Ovis aries: one gene and its partner. The protein of the gene in region 1 binds, or shares a complex with, the protein of each later gene. Links are inferred from orthologs where the notes say so. Each region holds a gene or a part of one and is shown in the gene's direction. Other genes may lie near its edges. The genes, in order: BANF1 and EMD.

Region 1 (9,057 bases):
TACTGGTATAACCATAAAAACTAAATACATGTTTTAGAAAAATAAGCCATTCTGGAAACCACTTGGAGAAGAGGCAAGATAAGTCACTTCTTCCTTAACCTGCTTGTACATCTCAGGTGTGACACAACCACACAGATGTTCAGTCTCTCAGTACCCTACAGACACAGACCAGCTACCACAAGCCAGGTCAGGAATGAGCTAATTTAAGGGCAAGGTAGACTAAATTGATGCTTTTGAACTGTGGTGTTGGAGAAGACTCTTGAGAGTCTTTTGGGCAGCAAGGAGATCCAACCAGTCCATCCTAAAGGAAATCAGTTCTGAATATTCATTAGAAGGGCTGATGCTGAAGCTGAAACTCCAATACTTTGGCCATCTGATGCGAAGAACTGACTCACTGGAAAAGACCCTGATGCTGGGAAAGACCGAAGTCAGGAGGAGAGGGGGACGACAAAGGATGAGATGGTTGGATGGCATCACCGACTCAATGGACATGAGGTTGAGCAAGCTCCGGGAGTTGGTGATGGACAGGGAAGCCTGGCGTTCTGCAGTCCATGGGGTCACAAAGAGTCAGACACGACTGAGCGACTGAACTTAATTGAGACCGATTTGATCTTTGGCATCTGCTGTTTCTGACCCTGGTACTGCAAGACAACGACTGATGCGTACTCAGAAGACTGTTGTTCAGTCGCTAAGTCGTATCCGACTCTTGCGACCCCATGGACTGCAGCACGCCAGGCTTCCCGGTCCTTAACTATTTCCCCGAGTTTGTTCAAAGTCATGATGGTTTCCAAAGGAAACTCCGAAGTGTCATCTCTAGTTGCCGTCCCCTGCCCTCCTCCTTTCCTATCTCGATGGAAAGATGCTCAGAGGGAAAGATCCAAACTTACTCTCTGGCCCTCGGATCCCACGAGAGCTGCCAGAACGACCCGGTTCTCCAGGCAGAACGCTGAGATCGCCTCATCCACGACTCACTTCAGAGCTGAGGCAACGAAAGCAGAGAAAAAGGACTCGCCGGTGGTCACAACGTTTGGAGTCGGTTTGGACTCAGGTCTGGGGCTCATCCGGTTCCCGTCCGACTCTAATAAGTCCGACAGGGAGGAGGACAACGCCTGTCGGCCTGAGTCGGACACCGTACTTCCGGCGCTCTCCCGGAAGTCTCCTGGTCACGCCTTTCCCCTTGTCCGTCTCTCTAATTTTTCCCACCACCAGGTCGGCCAAGGTTAAGTGGCTAAGTTCCGCATGCCGTGCAGCAGATAAATAAAGTTTTCTTCTCACAGGTTTCTGTTCCCTGAGGCCGGAAATGCTTCCCAAGAAGCAAGACTACAAAAGGCAGCCCGGCTTCCTCCGAAGCAACCGGAAATGAACTCCTACTAAGGGCGCTCTCGAGGTCTGGGTGGTGTCGCAACTCTATGACCCTAAGCGGCTAGAAGTGCCCAATGTAGTTTTGTTTTTTTTTTTTAAAGGCCCCCCCCTTGAGGCGACCCGGAAGCGGAAGTGGAAGAAAGTTCTAGTGGGCTGAGGTAGCGGCGGGAGCAGCCGGGTGGCGGGAGAAGCCGTTACAGGAACTGGAGCTGCGGGTGAGCGCGAGCCGCGGAACAGGGCTCGGGCTGGAGGCCAGAACGGGCGCGGGGAGGAGGGGGAGGCAGGGAGGAGAGGGCCCGCAAGGGCTGAGACGGGCCAGACGATGCGCCCTCCGAGAGGGCTCGGCGAGGCGCTGGGAGGGGCGGGGCGCGGCGCGTTGGGGGCGGGGTCCACGGCGTAGGGCGCGGCGGGCGTCCAGGTGTGGCGCTGACGCTGCTGGCAGCGCGGGTGTGCGCGCTCGGGCTGCGCCTTCGCTCAATGAGCAGCCTGTGCGGCGGCGGCGGGGTCAGGGCCCGCCGTTTGCTTTTCGGGCCAAGTGGCCATTCCAGACCCGAGTCAGTGCTGCTTTTGCCCAGCCAAGGTCACAGAGGGTTGACACTTTCAGGGCGGGCCCTGGGTACTGTGGAAATCTTACCTTTGTCCTGCTTGCGCCGCCTGTTAGGGCAAGATAGTTTCTCCTCGGGGGCGGTACCAAAACCCAGCTCCCGCAGGGACTGGGCGAGACTAAGCTCTTAAACAGTGAGGAAAAGACTGTGCGTGGACCTCAGTTTTCTCATCTGTGAAGTGGGGGGAATCGAGAAAGCCCCCATAACAGCTGCTTTGGCATTCTCTTCCTGTGAGATTGCCAGTGGGTTTTCGGGCGTTCCCTGGTTTTCAGCCCTAATTTCCCTCTTCTTGGGATTCCCAGATTAAGCTTGATCGAGATGACAACCTCCCAAAAGCACCGAGACTTCGTGGCAGAGCCCATGGGGGAGAAGCCAGTGGGAAGCCTGGCCGGGATTGGCGAAGTCCTGGGCAAGAAACTGGAGGAAAGGGGCTTTGATAAGGTGTGGAGTGGCTGCCTGTAGTTGGGAGGGGGGCGAGGCGCGACAACAGCATTTCCCGGCAGCTGGGGAGTGAGGAGGGTGTGTGTATCTGTTGGGGAGTGGACGCTCCTGTGTGATCGGCAGAGTCAGCCGGGCAGAACCCACCCTGCCTCTTGGGCTCATGTGTGGGGAGCCACAGGAAAGTGGCCCTTTTTTCCCCCGTGATGTTTATTTGTTTCTGTTTGCCCTGGGGTCTTAGTTGCAGCTTGCAGGATCTTTCATTGTGACTCACAGGCTCCAGAACCCACGGGCTTAGTTGCCCCACAGCAAGTAGGATTGTAGATTCCGGGCCAGGGATTGAACTCATGTCCCCTGAATTGCAAGACAGATTATTCACCACTGGACCAGCAGGGAAGTCCCAGGAAGTGGTCGTCTTGTTCTTAGTCCTACACAGCACTCGGCAGCCCATCTTTTGCTTTGCCCGTTTTGCAGGCCTATGTGGTCCTCGGCCAGTTTCTGGTCCTAAAGAAAGATGAAGACCTCTTCCGGGAATGGCTGAAGGACACGTGTGGCGCCAATGCCAAGCAGTCCCGGGACTGCTTTGGCTGCCTTCGAGAGTGGTGTGATGCCTTCTTGTGATGCTCTCTGGGGAGCCCCCGATCCCAAGCCCCAGCATTGAGTCTCCAGAGTTTGCAGCCTAGTGAGGACTCCTCCTCCGTCCTCTACAAAAGAAGAGATTGCTGTTGTGCACACCTCCCATGTACTCCAGGGCCTTTGGGGAGTTCTCTCCCCTCACCGTTTCAACTTTTTTGGAATTCTCACCCTTGCATGCATTTTCCTTTTCCTTTCCCTGCCAGTTTCGTGACAATAATTACCAGCTTTTCTGAGTGGATTCCTGGCCCTGTCCCTCACCCCCACCCCCACCTGTGGTCTCTTTTATGCCATTTGGTAGTCTTTTTGGCAGAACAGTCACTGTCCTTGTAAAGTTTTATAAATCAATAAAGCCAGTGGCCTTCATGACTGGGCTTTGTATGTGGGAAGCAGGCAGGCTGGGAGTTGCCTGTTCCCCAGGGACTGACCAGGTTTGCCACACTGCTTATCAGTGCAGATCGAAACTGGCAGCTTCCCTCACACTCCCAAGGGCGGCCATCCTGGCAATACGGGCCTTGGGCAGGTGCCTTGAAGTGTCTCAATCCCTCACCAACGTGGGAGAGTGAGTGGGTTGGTTCCTTCCTGGGATCCAGACATCCGTGTGGTCAACAGCTGGGTTAGTCAGCACCTGGTGGAAAGTCCGAGGGAGTCAGAGCAGGAAAAGGGTGGATGGGATGTGGACTGAGGTCTACCTGCCATTGGTCATGTGTTCTCCTGGTCTCTGGGATGAGTGGGCGGGGCTCATGCAGTCCGCCCTGTTCTCAGGGAGGCAGAAAGTGTGTGGGCAACCCAACTGGGTGGGCAGGCTTGAGTGAGTTACACTTGTATTTGGTATATCTTCATCATCTGTTTATCGGACTTACTATGAACCAGGTTCAGAGCTAAGGTTTGTGTAAACATTTTTTTTTCATTCATAATAAGTGTTAGTTTTGTTTTCCACAGATGAAACTAGAGGGTCAGGCTGACTCCATGGACTTACTACTGGGAAGTAGCCAGACTGGTCCTCAAAACATCACATGGAAACCCATGGACCTGAGAGCCATGGGTGGTGTTTGCTCACGGCTCTTGGTCTCTCTCAGACTCAATTTCCCCACCTGGAAAATGAAATTGTTGTAAGGATCAGATGCAGTGCTGGTCGTGTTCAGGAGCTACTTATTTATAGAATTTTCCTTGTCCTCAGGGCTTGAAGTCTGGTGAGGGGAGAAATGACATCATAAATAGAAACACTTCGATAGCGTGAGTAGATTTTCATGATTTCAGAATAGGGAAAGATTAAAAAGCTGATAGATTCAACTCCATCATAGAAATTTTGTTCAGGATAATCAGAGTGAGTGAGGAGCCTAACCCAGGGTGAGGAAGGATATTTGCGACCCACATAGATGACACAGGACTCCAGAGCTGCAGTCGAGAGAGAGCAGACAATACAATAGAAAAATGGGTGAAAGACCTGGAGGGCAGCCACAGAGGAATACCTGAGTGGTGAATAAGCATGTCAGAAGGTGTTCGGTCAGATTAAGTCCGGCAGAAACGCAAATAAGATGCCATTATACACTCACAGGATTGGCAAAAAAATTTAAGTCAGACAATACCAAGTTCTGATGAAGAAATGGAGCAACAGGAACAGATATCCAACTAGTGGGAGTGTAAATTGGTGTGAACAATTGGGGAAAGCAGTTGGGTGTTTGCCAGTAAAACTGAAGACCCACCCTGTGAGCCAGCAGTTCCTCGCCAGGGACGGGACAGGACGCAAAGCACACCTGCGTCAGCGCCTGAGCGGATGTTCACAGCGGCTTTGTTCCTTCACAGGGGCTCCCAGCTGGATCCGCATGGGGGCTCTTTGCAGAGGCAGTAAAACTAGAAGGGGAAAAAATGCTTTTTGCCAGAGAAAATGAAATCACTGAGTTGTGTCCAATTCTTTGTGACCTCAATGGACTGTAGCCTGCCAGACTGCTCCTCCATGGGACTTTACAGGCAAGGATACTGGAGTGGGTTGCCATTTCATTTTCCAGGGGATCTTCCCGACCTAGGGATCGAACCTGGCTCCCGCACTGCAGGCAGACTCTTTACTGTCTGAGCCCCAGGGAAGATTATTGCAAAAGTCATTGGTAAAGAGAAGTGGGGAGTGATTGCCTTTGGGGGAAAGAGACAGGTGTGATGCATGGGAGCATAGGGGGCTGCGAGTGGCAGTTTCCACTTCTTGACCTGTATGGTGGTGATCCAAGACACTCTGTACTTTTCTGTCTGTTAGATACATCTCAGAACAGTAGAAGATAAAAGGGAGAACAAAAATAAAGACCCAAGGATAGAGCAGTTAGGTAATTAGCCAGAGATTATGATGGTTATTAGTAGGGATGAAGGTTCAGTGTAAGCCTGGGTCTTGGAAGTGTGAGAGGCCCCTGGAAGATCACCAGGTGGCCAGAGCTGGGCCCAGCTCGTGTTACAGGCTGCTTCCTTGGAGGGTGCCAGTCTGAAGCCCAGAAAGGTAGTCATGGGGACTGTCCCTGGAGTTTCAGGCCGTACTATGTTTCTAATGTTACTCTGCTTGGGTCCAGGGTCTTCGGCTGTCCTGACCTCTGAACAACTGTATTCACCTGCAAAATGATGGTACTTACTAACTCGGGTGTTTGTGAGAATAGACCAGCTGGTGAAAAGTCTTTGGAAATTGTTAGGTTGGTGTGCAAAAGATTTGTTGGTGTCAGCACAAAGGAATGGCAGGGTAGGGACAAGTGAGCTGGGGACACTGGCCCTTGGCTAGCTTCCCGGGGAGCTGGTGCAGATTTAAGTGCAGCTGCAGCTGAGTTCCCAGTGGCAGGAGCGCAGGCCTAGAGGAACCCAAGGAGGTGCCTGGCCGCTTGGGCTGCCTCCCCACCTCTCCCAGCGTGTGCTGCAGCCTGGGCCTCTTACTCCCCCATGGCCAGGCTCTCTTGGCCTGGCTCCTGCCTGGCCTTGGCCTCCTCATCAAGCCAAGCTCTCCCCAGCTCTTGCACAAATGGGTCTGTTGCAGAGAAGAACCAGTTTTCACTCCACATTGGAACTGTTTTTTAGACTCTTCCTGCTGTTCTTATGTGTTGTGTTAGTCACTGAGTCATGTCTGACTCTTTGCGACCCCCTGAACTTTAGCCCACCAGGCTCTTCTGCCCAGGGAATTCTCCAGGCAAGAATACTGGAATGGATAGCCATTCCCTTCTCTGGGGGATCTTCCTGATCCAGGAATTGAACGCCAGGCTTCTGCATTGTAGGTGAATTCTTTACTGTCAGAGCCACCTGGGAAGCCAGGACATAATGGTCTGCCTCAAAGGACCCTGGCCCTCTGACTGTGAAACTAAAGTGCCTTTGTTCAGCTCATAGAGAATCTGACTCTGTCCCTCTGTGAATGACTACAAAAAGGGGATTAACACGTCCCTTCCGAATGCTGGCCCTCCTGGAGATGTTTTGCAAGACTGAAAGCCCTTTTTACTTTACCTCCTCTCTCTGCTGGGCCTTTTGACTTTTTAGTTCCTCATTGCTTCTCCCTCAGGTTCTATAAACGAGCCTGGCATCCAGACCCCAACAGCATGGTCATTTTGAGACATTAGTCTGCCATCTTCTCCGTCAGCCAGCTCTCCAAATACAGTTGTATCCCTTGCCTCAGCACCTTGTCTCTGGGATTCACTGGCCTGTCATGTGGCGAGCAGAGGGAGCTTGGACTCCATAAGTGGTCTGTCCCTTTAAGGCAGACACCTGAGCCCACAACAAACTTGTGACTATTCCTTGGCATCCCAAGATTGTTTTTCACAGCTGTGCTGAGGGTGTGGGGCAGCATCTGGACTGGGCAGTGACTACATGCTGGTCCTGGTCTCCCTGGGAGAAATCCCTGCCTTTCCTGACCTCGGGATTCTGAGGGTCTGGGAATTGGGGTTGGGATCAGGGAATCTTGGATGCTTACTCATAATATTCATCACAATAATAGCTGCCACTTATTAAGCCCCAACACTTTGTTGCTTACTGAAAACCACCACCCCTCCCAAGCCCCAGGTAAGATCCTCAGCAGCCCTGAAGCACTAAAGATTGGTGTCCCCAGAGCAAAAAACACCCTCCCCACCACAACAAGTGATTAAAAGTACAAACTGCCTTGCACTTGGCTTCCCCAGTAGCTCAGCGGTAAAGAATCTGCCTACAATAAAGGAGACGCAGGAGATGCTGGTTTGATCCCTGGCTTGGGAAGATCCTCTGGAGAGGGGCATAGCAACCCATTCCAGAATTCTTGGCTGGAGAATCCCATGGACAGAGGAGCCTGGTGGGCTACAGTCCATAGGATCTCAAAAGTCTGAAGCCACTAAGCACGCACCCTAAATTCTTAAAACATTAATTGTAGAAAATTCTAAAACATGTCAAACTTTTCCTGTGTTGACTACTTCAGTGCTGCTTTTTATATTGTGTCAGATTATTCCCCCCAGAAATCATAGCCCTGGGACTTTCCTACTGGTCTAGTGGTTTTTCTGGGTGCCTAATGTCCTCTGCTAGCATCTGTGGAATTTGCTCGATGCTCAAGTGTTCTTTCGATGAATTTGTGGGGGAGAAAGTGGTCTCCCTGTCCTATTCCTCCGCCATCTCGGTCCAGTGGTTAAGACGCCCTTCCAAAGGGAGATGTGCATTCTATCCCTGGTCTGGTAAATAAGATCCCACATGCAGGGTGTGGCCAAAAAGTTAAAAATCACAGCCTTGTTTTGCTGGTACTTCCAACATATGCCCAGTTTACCTATGAGTGACCCAGTTTCAGGCCCTTATAATTAGCAAGACCTTAGAAGACAAGAGTTGTCACCTTTCTTCAGGTGAGGACTGAGGCTCCCAGAGGTCAAAGGGCTTGCTGGAAGGCCCCCAGGCAGTAAATGGCAGAGCTGGGACCACCCACACTCCTGGCCAGCTATCTTTTGGGCTCCCTCTGGACTGAGAACACAGATTTAAGTTAGACTGTGTCTCGTGTGTGTGTGTGTGTGTGTGTGTGTGTGTGCGCGCGCGCGCGTGCGCTCAGTCGTGTCCAGCTCTATGTGACCCCACGGACTGTAGCCCGCCAGCCTCCTCTGTCCATGGGATTTTCCTGGCAAGAATACTGGAGCGGGTTGCCATTTCATATTCCAGGGGATCTTCCCGACCCAGGGATTGAACTTTCATCTCTTACGTCTCCTGCGTTGGCAGGCGGATCCTATACGACCAGCGCCTGCCTGGGCTCAAAAGCCAGTGTCACCATTTACTAGTTACCAGCCTGTGTTCTTGGGCAAAATCAGTTGTTTACTCTGTGTCCTGTTTACTCCTCTGTAAAATGGAACCCTTGCTCACTGATCCCTACCTCATGCTGGTCATGAGGGTTAAACAGTGCCCGGCTCAGGGCAGTAAGGACTCCTGCTTACCTGCTGTTTATATAGCACCTGGCCTCCCCTAAGCACTTATTGAACCCTCGAAGCAACCCATTTCACAGAGGAGGAAACTGAGGCAATGAGGGTTAAGTAACTTCTCCAAGACTACCATTGGAGATAGTTAAGAGCTTGCTAGTAGCTGTTGTGGGTTTCTCATATGGGATGGGTCTCTGTGAACTGCCCCTGTGGTGGCACTTGTGGCTAGGAGCTGTCGCAGTCCTTGCCCTCCCCAACCAGGTGTGCCTGGAGGGCAAGCAGCGTGGTGGTGATGCCCAGGTGTGCTCGGGCCTGCCCGCTGTCCTCCTCGGCACCCCGCAGGCGGCCTCACGTGTGGACCAACCAGGCTGGGTGGATCCCTCCCCGCCTGCGGGGGCGCGCGGCGAGCGGCGGGCGGGGCCAGGCGGGGCCGAGGAGCCCATAAAAGCGGCGCCGGCCGCGGTCAGATACCGACACCGATGGCCATGGCGCGTCCTAGCCTCCTGCTGCCGATGGCCCTGGCCTTGCTCGCACTCTGCCTCCTGGTGCTGCCCCGCGACGCCCGGGCCCGGCCGGGGGACCGCAAGGTCGGAGAACTGCAGGAGCTGTCGCCCAGCGACCCGCAGGTGCAGAAGGCGGCGCAGGCGGCC
Region 2 (9,433 bases), on another chromosome or scaffold:
CCCCACACAACGTCCTGCTTCAGAGCCCTGCCTTCCTGGACAGTCATGCAATGACCTGCCCCCCAGTTCACCCTCCCAGGGCACCCCCATGGCTGTTGGGCTCTCACACTGCGGGGCCAGACCCAGATTCCCCAGGAAACCAGGGAAGGCGGCTGCACCACCACACCCCGGCTTGCAGCTGGCCCCGGGCACCCCACCACCAACTCCGTGAGCTGCCCGCCGACCACTCTGCTCGGTGCCCGCCAACCGCTCCGCCCGGTGCCCGCCGCGGACGCCTCACCTTCTCTCCCTGCGGGCGGCCGGCGGCCGCGGGGTGGCGCCTGGCAGATCTTCGAGCCCGCGCCTGGCGCCTCGGGGCTCTGCTGGCGTCTGCTGCGCGCCGGGCGCCTCCACGCGAATGGGCCGCTGCCGCCCGCCTTCTTGTTGGCCGCACCCCCGCCCCGCACCCGGCCCGACTCGGCCCGACGAGAAAGCCTTAATTGGTAAAAATCACCCAGGAGCGGGGCGGGGGGGGGGTTTCGAGGGGGGGCCCCGCGGGGGCGCGCCGTGAGCTCAGGCGCCTGGGCAGCCGGCGACGCCCCCCTACCCCCGTTGAGATGAGCTCACCCTCTGCTGACGGGGAGGGGCGGCCCGGAGGGTCTGCAGAGCCTGCGTCTCGGCCCAGCAACGAAGGCCACCTCCTCCAGGGAGCTGCCCAGTCTTGCGCCGCCCCCCTACCTTTACCCCAAGCCTGGGGCTGGTCGGACTAGTTGGATTCTACCTTGGAGGGGGAAGTGCAACAGGCTCTAGCAGGTATGCACTGAGAGCCTCCCACCTGAAAGTCTGCACGGGGGCAGGGACCTGAGCCCCAAGACAAGCCAAACAACATCCCGGGCTGGCATGGGTTTGGCCCCTGCCCAGTGCCAGGCCTGGCCTGGAAGCAAGCAACAGAAGTGGACTGAATTCTCAGCAGCACAGTTAGCTGCAGTCCTGAGGCCTGGGCATGGACAGTGGGGTGCAGCCGAGGAGCCAAGCGTCTGGGGAACTAGGTGGGCACAGCCACACCCTGGCACTGCCAGGCTCCCTCTTCGTCTTCTGTGTGCCCATTTCCTGGTATTAACAGCGTCGTATTCAGCTCAAATGTCACTTCCTCGGGGAAAGCCACACAAAGCAGTGTCTTCTCACTGTGCCCACAACCCCCACAAAGAACTGCATCTTACATCCTGAGCCAATATTTGCAGGCACACACGCAGATCGACACAAATGGCTGAAATAAACGTTCCACGAAGTGAGACTGTCCCTTACCACCTGAAAAGCACTCTGATCTTTCTTCTTTTATTCTACTTCATTAAAGGAGAAAAAGCAAAGAAGGGAGCTGCTGCTGCTGCTAAGTCGCTTCAGTCGTGTCTGATTCTGTGTGACCCCATAGACAGCAGCCCACCAGGCTCCGCCGTCCCTGGGATTCTCCAGGCAAGAACACTGGAGTGGGTTGCCATTTCCTTCTCCAAAAAGAAGGGAGGGAGGGAGGCAAAAGGGGAGAAGCAGGAAGGAACAGGGGGGAAGAAAGGAGAAGTCTGCTGTCACCTGCTAACGTAGTTTGATATCTACAGCTGCACACTAACAGGAAGGCACTGATTGCCCTCCAGGCCTCTCCGCAGCCACTGCTGCCTTTGTTGGCAATGACCTCTCCACCTTGACCCCAGGTGAGATCGCCTAGCAGTGGCCTCGGTCTCTGTTTCTCCCCGCCCCATCTAGTGGGATCCACCCCTCCGCCCCTCACGGCAGTGGGTTATCCTCCCTTGATAGATGAGCAGTCTCAGTTTAGGTCCACAAGGTAGCTCATGGCCAAGGCTATCCTTCAAGGAGGGACACCCACCTGCCAGAGGCATTGCAATGGGAATCAGTGTACAATAGCTGGGGTAGCAGAAAGGAAGTGATGGCTTCATGGCTGGATCTCAGGACCCCCCACCTCCGTTTTAATCCTCTCTTTACTCTCTCTCTCCCCTCCCTCCACACCCCTGAGACACATGCAACTCAGGGTCTCTACTTTTCCAGGTCTGGGGGGAATGAAGGTTTATATAGCACCAGCTCTTCCCTGGTAAAAGATTTTAACAAAGGCTTTTGCTCCTTGTGTTGATGGAGAAGGAAATGACAATCCACTCCAGTACTCTTGCCTGGAAAATCCCATGGACAGAGGAGCCTGGTGGGCTACAGTCCATGGGGTTCAAGAGTCGGACAGGACTTAGCGACTAAACCATCACCTTGTGTTGAAGGTTCCACAAAAGCACTAGAAGCAGCTCCATTCCTGCTGCCATGCCGACTGTCCCAAGGCAGACTGACGTGTCCTAGGACTGGAACACAAGGTGTCACCTGAGAGGTTTTTGGTCAGCTAACCATTCCCTGCTATATATTGATTGTGACAACCTTCCAAACGGTCATTTTCACACTAGTCACCATCTTACAACTTTTGTTACCATCTGAGCCATGTTTTAAAGCATTCGACTGCTAGGCCAAACCCAGAGGATCTTTAACATCCTTAAAGGGAAAAAGTAAGCTTTGTATTGTACCAAAGGATTCAGGTTCTGATCTTAAAACATTAATCACTCAGTGAATGTCTCCTTGGACCTGTTGAAAAATGTATTCATGTTGATATTACTTTTCCTTACATTTTTTGATGTTGCTAGGATCACAAGTTACATAATCTATTGCTTAGAATCCTAGTCCTTAAAGGTGAAACTGTCTTGTTACTGACTTGGAATCAGTGGCTTCCAAGCCCTTTTCGCCTCAGCCAAAGTTCCAAAGAAATGCTTGCTTTTAACTCTGCCCACTCTTCCCAGGAAGACTCCCCTCAAGGCCCCAGATTTCCACTAACAGCTCCTCTGCTGACTCGGAATCCCCAGTGGGCCACGCTGTCCAGGTTATGACCCCGAGGGCTAGGTACTGGCTAGGGGAACATCCATGAATGAATTGTTGCCCTGGGTGCCCCTGTATAAGTCCCCTCCTTCTCTGGGCCCTTAATTCCTCCTCGATGTCATTGTGGCAGTGCCAAGGGCCTCTCAGCTCTGATGGTCAAGGGCTTGCCTGGTTTCTAGTGGTTTGAGACAGGTCTGCCTGCAGTGGGGCTGGCTTGGGGCTCCAGGTGGGCTCATGTGCAGGAGACCATCACAGGTCAGCCATGTGGTGCCATCTGTGGTGGGACCTCATAGTGGGGCAACTGGGGGAGAGGGAAATAAAAGGCAAAGGGCCAAGGCAGGTGCCGGGGAGGGGGTGCTCCCAGAGGAGAAGGCAAACTTAGAATTCCTTGACCTCATAAGGAAACGGCTTGGGTCTGTATGGGGCGGGGGTTGGCAAGGGGAGGCTGGCCTCCGGGACAGGGGCCAGCACTGCAAAAGAAGGCTTAGAGAGGTGCTGGGGAATCTGATCTGGCCCAAACTCCAAATTCCGTGAAGCCGGCTCTGAGGAGCCCAGAGCCCAAATGCCATCTCCCTCCCTGCTCAGAGATAAGCAGCAAGACCCTTGCCCTGCCTGGGGGCGCTGCCCCTCATCCGACCATGCATGCGTGGGGCCCTCATATTTTGGGAGATGGAGAAAGCCTCATTTCTAAAACCTGGCCAACAGCAACCTTGAGGAGGGGCTTCGTATGTGGTTAAACCAGGGCCCTATCTTCTCTCCACCCCATGAAGGAACTTTTGCTGAGACCGAGGCTGTGACCCTCACCAACTGGGCCAGTCTGCCAGCCTTCATCTCAGTTCCGGGAGAGGCACTTAAGTTTCCCCTCATTCCATTGGCTGGCTTTGTTAGAATGTCACTGTCATCTTCTTCCTAATTTTCATGGGACAGCTCTTCCTGACCAAGGCTCTCACCAACTCCCTGTGACAGGCCCTGGCTGCCTTCCATGGTTTGCCCCCCTCAGTCCCCTGGCCCCCCTGTCTGGGAGGCTCCCTCTGCACTCCCACGACCCTGAAGCCCACTGAGACCCAGGTGCTCAGAGTGCATTATCGGAAGCCTGGGGCAGGTCCCTCTGGCAGCCTCCTGGGTCACGCTGGGCTCAGGGGCCATCCCAGCCACGGTGGGGAAGCCCCTCGCGCCTCTGGTGCACTGCCGGTGGGTGAGGCAGACACCCGCCATCTCGGCATCACAGGGCGCCCCATGCCAGTGCCCATTGGCATGCCCGGGCCCCTTCCAAGGCTGCTGGCTCCTGGAGGGCCGGTGGCCTCCTGGCCCAGTGCCCCATTTCCTCTGGGGTGCAAGGGGAGGGAGGGAGGCGGTGGGAACCGGCGGGCGCAGGCCAGGATCCTGCAGAGCGGGAAGGCGTGCTGGGGCAGGGGGTCTGGGGCTCTGGGGGGCGGTTTATGGTCAGGTGGCTACAGGCTTCCTTGGTGTGGCGCGCGCGCGCACTGCGCGTGCAGCAGCGCCTAGTCTGGACCCGTGCTCTCCAAGGGCTTGCCCCTTCGGATCAGGCCCCTTCTCGCAGCCGCCGGCGACGCGCCCGCCTGGGGCGCGGCCAGGGACCCGCAATTGCTGGAGCAGAGGGGCAGTTGAGACCGAGCGGACTCCACGTGACTCAGGGAGGGCGAGCCCCGCCCAGCGCGCAGCCCCGCCCAGCTCCCGCATCCTGCCCAGTTTCTGCCGGTTGCATGGCCACAGGCCCCGCCCCTCCACCCTTCTGACCCAAATAGCCGAGCGGGTGACGTCGCGGCTCGCGGGCCCCGCCCCGCTCCCAAGCCGGGGCGGGTCTAAGCTAGTTCCCGTCGCGCCCAGGCCCCGCCCCCTCGCTGGGGTCCAGCCCTAAATGCGCCAGCGTGTGACGTCTCTGGGCTCGGGAGCCCCGCCCCTCCCCGCCCATTCGCGAGGCTCCACCAATCTGCGCTGGCAGCTCTCTGCGAGGCCCGGCCCCGCTCCGCACAGCGCGCGCTGCCCGCGGAGACCGAGACTGTGACGCGGGCGTGACGCGCGCGTAGCCGCTCCCGAGGCACTCCTGTTTCCCCTGCCGCGCTCCGAGGCCATCGTCTCTCGGCCGGTGTTGCAAGGCCCAGGCCTCCCCCAGGCCTCCGCCGCCCGCTGCCCGCCATGGACGACTACGCAGTCCTCTCGGACTCCGAGCTGGCCGCCGTGCTGCGCCAGTACAACATCCCACACGGGCCCGTCGTCGGTACGCGGTGGACGGAGGGCGGGCCCGCTCCCCGCGCTTAGCCCCGCGGCCCCCTCTCGGCCCGCTCCCTGACCGCCCTGTGCCCCGCGTCTGATCAGGTTCCACTCGCAAGCTCTACGAAAAGAAAATCTTCGAGTATGAGACCCAGAGGCGGAGGCTCTCGCCCCCGAGCTCGTCCGCATCCTCTTTCTCCTATCGGTTCTCGGGTGAGGCTCCCGTCCCAGGGCCCCGCCTGGCCGCCCTTGGGGACACGGTTTGGGGGACGCTGAGGAAGGGGTCGCGGGGGTGTGGCCAGGGCACTGGCTGGAAGGGGCGCGGGGGAAACGGGAGGGGACCCCTGTGGGCCAATGGTCCTAGCCCCTCCCCCATTCAGACTTAGATTCGGCGTCCGTGGACTCGGATATGTATGATCTGCCCAAGAAAGAGGACGCCTTACTTTACCAGAGCAAGGGTAAGGCAGGGGTGGGGTGGGCACTCTGACACCTTCCTTCCAGTGTCAGCCAGAACCTGAGACCTCAACCCCATGCGTCCTGCAGTAGCCCTGCAGCACCCCCCCCCCCAATGGGATTCAGATTAGGGCCATCGGGCCAGGTGGGGACACCGTTGCCCCTTCTGCTACCGCTGCCCCCCCCTTCCTAAGGCTATAATGATGACTACTATGAGGAGAGTTACTTGACCACCAGGACTTACGGGGAGCCTGAGTCTATGGGCACATCCAAGGGCTTCCGCCAGCCCTCAGCTTCACTCTCAGATGCTGACCCCTTTCACCGCCAGGTGAGCTGAGTTGTCGGGCACCCTGTACTTGGGTACAACCTGAGGGGGTCCTCATGGGGTTTGGATGAGTCAAGGGAACCACTGGGCACAAATGGTGGCTCAGAAACCTCCAGGGAGAGGTGGGGCCTGCAGACACCTGCCTGGTCAAGACCTTTGGGGTGGGGGAAGGGGCTGTCAGAACTGTTTTGACTAGTGTGCCCAGGACGTGCCCTGGCTCTGGTCTGGGATCTAGGTTTGAGCTCTTTTTGAGAATTCTGGGGCAGAAAGTAGGATGCAGGCAGCCGGGACAAGTGGCACGGCCCTGCAGACATAAGGCTGAGGACCAAGAAGGGGGTCTGGAGGGTGGCAGGGCCCAGGCCTTTAATCAGTGTTCAGAACAGGCTGGGAAGGGCAGTTTGGACTGAGGGTATGACCTGTCATACCTACACCGACCCTGTCAATAGGTATTCTCATTCTGATTCACTTCTGTAGGTCCGTGATGACAATCTTTTCTCTTTGGAAGAGGAAGGCAAGGATCGGTGAGTATTAAGGCGAGCCAGGGGCTGGGGCTGATTCAGGACTCAAGCCCTCCTGGTCTACCTACTGCACTCTTTGCCTCAGGGAACGCCTCCTGTATGGCCGGGACAGTGCCTACCAGAACATTGCACACTACCGCCCTATTTCCAACATCTCCAGAAGCTCCCTGGGCCTGTCCTATTATCCCACATCCTCCTCCACCTCGAGTGTGTCCTCATCTTCATCTTCGGCCCCTTCGTGGCTCACCCGCAGAGCCATCCGGCCTGAAAAGCAGGCCCCTGGGGCTGCCGGCCTGAGCCAGGATCGCCAGGTCCCGCTCTGGGGCCAGGTGCTGCTGTTCCTGGTCTTTGCTGCCTTCCTGCTCTTTGTTTACTACTCCATGCAGGCCGAGGATGGCAACCCTTTCTGGGCAGAGCCCTAAGGGTCTGACCTCGTACCTTGGAGGCCGGCTCCTCTTGGAAGCCCTGGCTGACTGCCTTATCAGTGTTTGTTGGGGGAGGGGGGTTGGGGCTTTTCTGTGTGTTCTAGCTTGGGGTTACCAGGACATGGGCAATGTTTGCTGACCCCTGCCCTGTCCTGCCAGGGAGGCAGCAGGCCTGGGCCCTCTGCGGCATGGTGGACCTGGGTGGGCCTGCCTCTGGATCCTCCTGGCCCTGCTTGCCTGTCACCCTTCGGGCCTAGGAGGGCAAGACCCTTCTCCTGGAGAGGAGAACATGGTTTTGGTCATCGCATGCCTCCTATTTGTCGTCACCTCATGGGGGGATTAACCAAAGGCCACCCTGAGTTTGTTTTCGTGGACACAATAAAAGACCATTTATTTTTAATGTGTGGGTTCTTTTCTTTAACATGGGGAGGGGTTGGGCTGCCCCCCTGCTAAAGGCTTCCAGGCCTTGGGTCTCCAGAATTGCCATCCAACTTTGTCAGTTCATCCTTTCGTCCTTTGAGCCTGAGATAGGGATCATAGGCAACCCATAAACTCATTTATGTTTTGCTTTTGGTGCCCGCTCCCTGACATGTTACCAGAAGCTCTTGTAAGTGCTTATAAAAAATAGTCACACAGAGAGCCCACTGGGAAACGCAGGTGAGGCTGCTTGCACCGTGTCAGTTCTGGGTGTTTCAACTGGGACCAGCAGACACCAACTGTGGTGTCCAAGGGCAGAGTGATGGGAAGGAAATGAGGCATCTGCTTGATGGGCTGCTGGAAGGCTGGTTGTCTAATGACAGGGGAAGGCTCTCAGTCCTCTGGAATGTTTCATCTCCTTTTAGTAAACCAGTTCCTCACCTGGGTATTACCACAAGGTTTTCTGCTGTGGGCATTTAACAATTTTCACAGTTTACATGTGATTTTAACATCGAGTTGGAGAAAGAAATGGCAACCTACTCCAGTATTCTTGCCTGGAGAATCCCAAGGACAGAGGAGCCTGGCGGGCTACAGTCCATGGGGTCGCTAAGAGTCTGACACGACTGAACGACTTTCACTCACTTAACATCAAGTGCTAAGGAAACATGGGGTAGAATGCCACACTGTTCGTCTGGGCTCCGCACTGCCTGTAGAGGGCAGTAAAGTCTGGAGAAACAGGCACACAAAAGGGAAGCAAAGGCACCCCCTGGGCCACCATTGGGTGGGACCCTGGCATCTCAGCTCTGACGGGCTCCTTCGTACAGGTGGCAGGACTTGGCAGGGCCTGCCCTCTCACCTGCACGTGCACCATGGGCTCCTGAGCCTTGGGGCTCTCCGCTGTCTATGGCCGCTGGGTAAGCTCTGCTCAGGGCCAGACTGGAACCTTTCTACCAAAGCTTCTGGACACTTCTTTTTGCTGCATCCTAGTCTCCGCACTTTTATGGGGTGGGATGGGGTGGGCGTTTTCCTAAAACCAACAGGCTTTCTTTGTGCATTTCAAATACACCAAAAAGAAATGGCTTCTCATATTCTCACCCCTCCCAGAGCCCCAGCCTCCCTCGTTTGCTGCTAGGCACTCCCACCTGACTCCTGTGGCACCCAGTCCACTGTGGCCGGGACACCCCTGAGCCCCCAGCATCTGTCTCATGCCATCCTAGACCAAGAGCTGAGACACGGATGCTCCGTGGTGGGCGGTGGGCATGGGCAAGAGGTGTGGCCTGCTCATCTGTGACCACAGGGGCAGGTGGTCAAATTAGTGAACTGGAGGGTGGGAGAACAAGGAGTCCCATCGTCAGGGCATCAGAACTCCACAGGGGCATGGCGCAACATCTCATTTCGGCAAGTGATCTCAAGTGCTCCTCCTGGGGGTGGCTGTGCAGCGGGAGACCCACGGGGTCCTGGTGGAGAGGAGGGATTGCAGGGAGGAAGGGGAGAGAGATGGCATGGCCTCTGCACGGAATGGTCCCCTCCGGGCTTCAGATCGTCCATCTGCAGGGCCGAGGGGGAGGCTAGATGTGCTTGGCAACCACTGCTGTGTCTGAAGGGAGACAGAGTTGCCTCCCAGGTGACACAGTCTCCCCCTTTTATTTCTCATGGGTGACGACATCCATTGATCACCATGCACCAGACGGAGGGTTTCTGAGGGCCTTGCTTCAAAATCACTGCTCCAGGGCACTGAGATACCCTCCTCCCAGAGAGCTCTCCTGAGGACTCTGGACCTCCCTCCAGACTCCCGCCAGGCTTAGCCTTGCTTCCAAGGCCCTGGACCCCCATAAGGGCGCCTGAATGCCTCCAAGTGCTCTGGGCACCCCAGCCAAAAGCTTTTGAGGGCTCCGTGAGCCCCCAAGAAACATCAGGCTTCCAAGTCCCCACCTAGGGCTTTCCAGGGCTCTGAGACCAACCTCCAGGCTCCTGCCTGGACCATGGGCTGCAGTGGTACTGGGAGCACAGCAGGGGGCAGCAGCTTCCTAGCGTGCAGGACATCTCCTGCCATCTTAGGTACCACCAGAGCGGAGTCGGGGGATGGTAGTGGTGGTTGGCAGACATGGAGGAGCCTAGGAGGCCCTGGATGAGGCAACTGAGCTGGTAGCTTGGGACCCTGCCAGACAGCC

What was found.
Region 2: the proteins of BANF1 (region 1) and EMD are in contact, whole or in part, in a crystal structure (PDB 7NDY), measured with the Homo sapiens proteins. The link is inferred for Ovis aries from reciprocal best matches to the Homo sapiens genes BANF1 and EMD. Residues at the interface, in NP_001137457.1 of Homo sapiens: Arg37, Phe39, Gln48, Val51, Leu52, Lys53, Asp55, Leu58, Glu61, Trp62, Asp65; in NP_000108.1 of Homo sapiens: Pro22, His23, Gly24, Pro25, Val27, Ser29, Thr30, Arg32, Leu33, Tyr34, Lys36, Lys37, Glu40.

The regions. Positions count from the first base shown.
Region 1 is NC_056074.1:40,527,808-40,536,864, forward strand, and holds BANF1 (barrier-to-autointegration factor), read left to right. Parts: upstream 1-1,499; 5' UTR 1,500-1,577; intron 1,578-2,269; 5' UTR 2,270-2,285; coding exon 2,286-2,408; exon of another isoform or gene 2,409-2,879; coding exon 2,880-3,026; 3' UTR 3,027-3,404; downstream 3,405-9,057. Other genes in the region: CST6 (cystatin-M), read left to right, coding at 8,887-9,057. UniProt on the Homo sapiens protein: Non-specific DNA-binding protein that plays key roles in mitotic nuclear reassembly, chromatin organization, DNA damage response, gene expression and intrinsic immunity against foreign DNA.
Region 2 is NC_056080.1:80,068,801-80,078,233, reverse strand, and holds EMD (emerin), read left to right. Parts: upstream 1-4,925; 5' UTR 4,926-5,049; coding exon 5,050-5,131; intron 5,132-5,229; coding exon 5,230-5,337; intron 5,338-5,504; coding exon 5,505-5,582; intron 5,583-5,771; coding exon 5,772-5,905; intron 5,906-6,376; coding exon 6,377-6,423; intron 6,424-6,505; coding exon 6,506-6,842; 3' UTR 6,843-7,245; downstream 7,246-9,433. UniProt on the Homo sapiens protein: Stabilizes and promotes the formation of a nuclear actin cortical network. Stimulates actin polymerization in vitro by binding and stabilizing the pointed end of growing filaments. Inhibits beta-catenin activity by preventing its accumulation in the nucleus.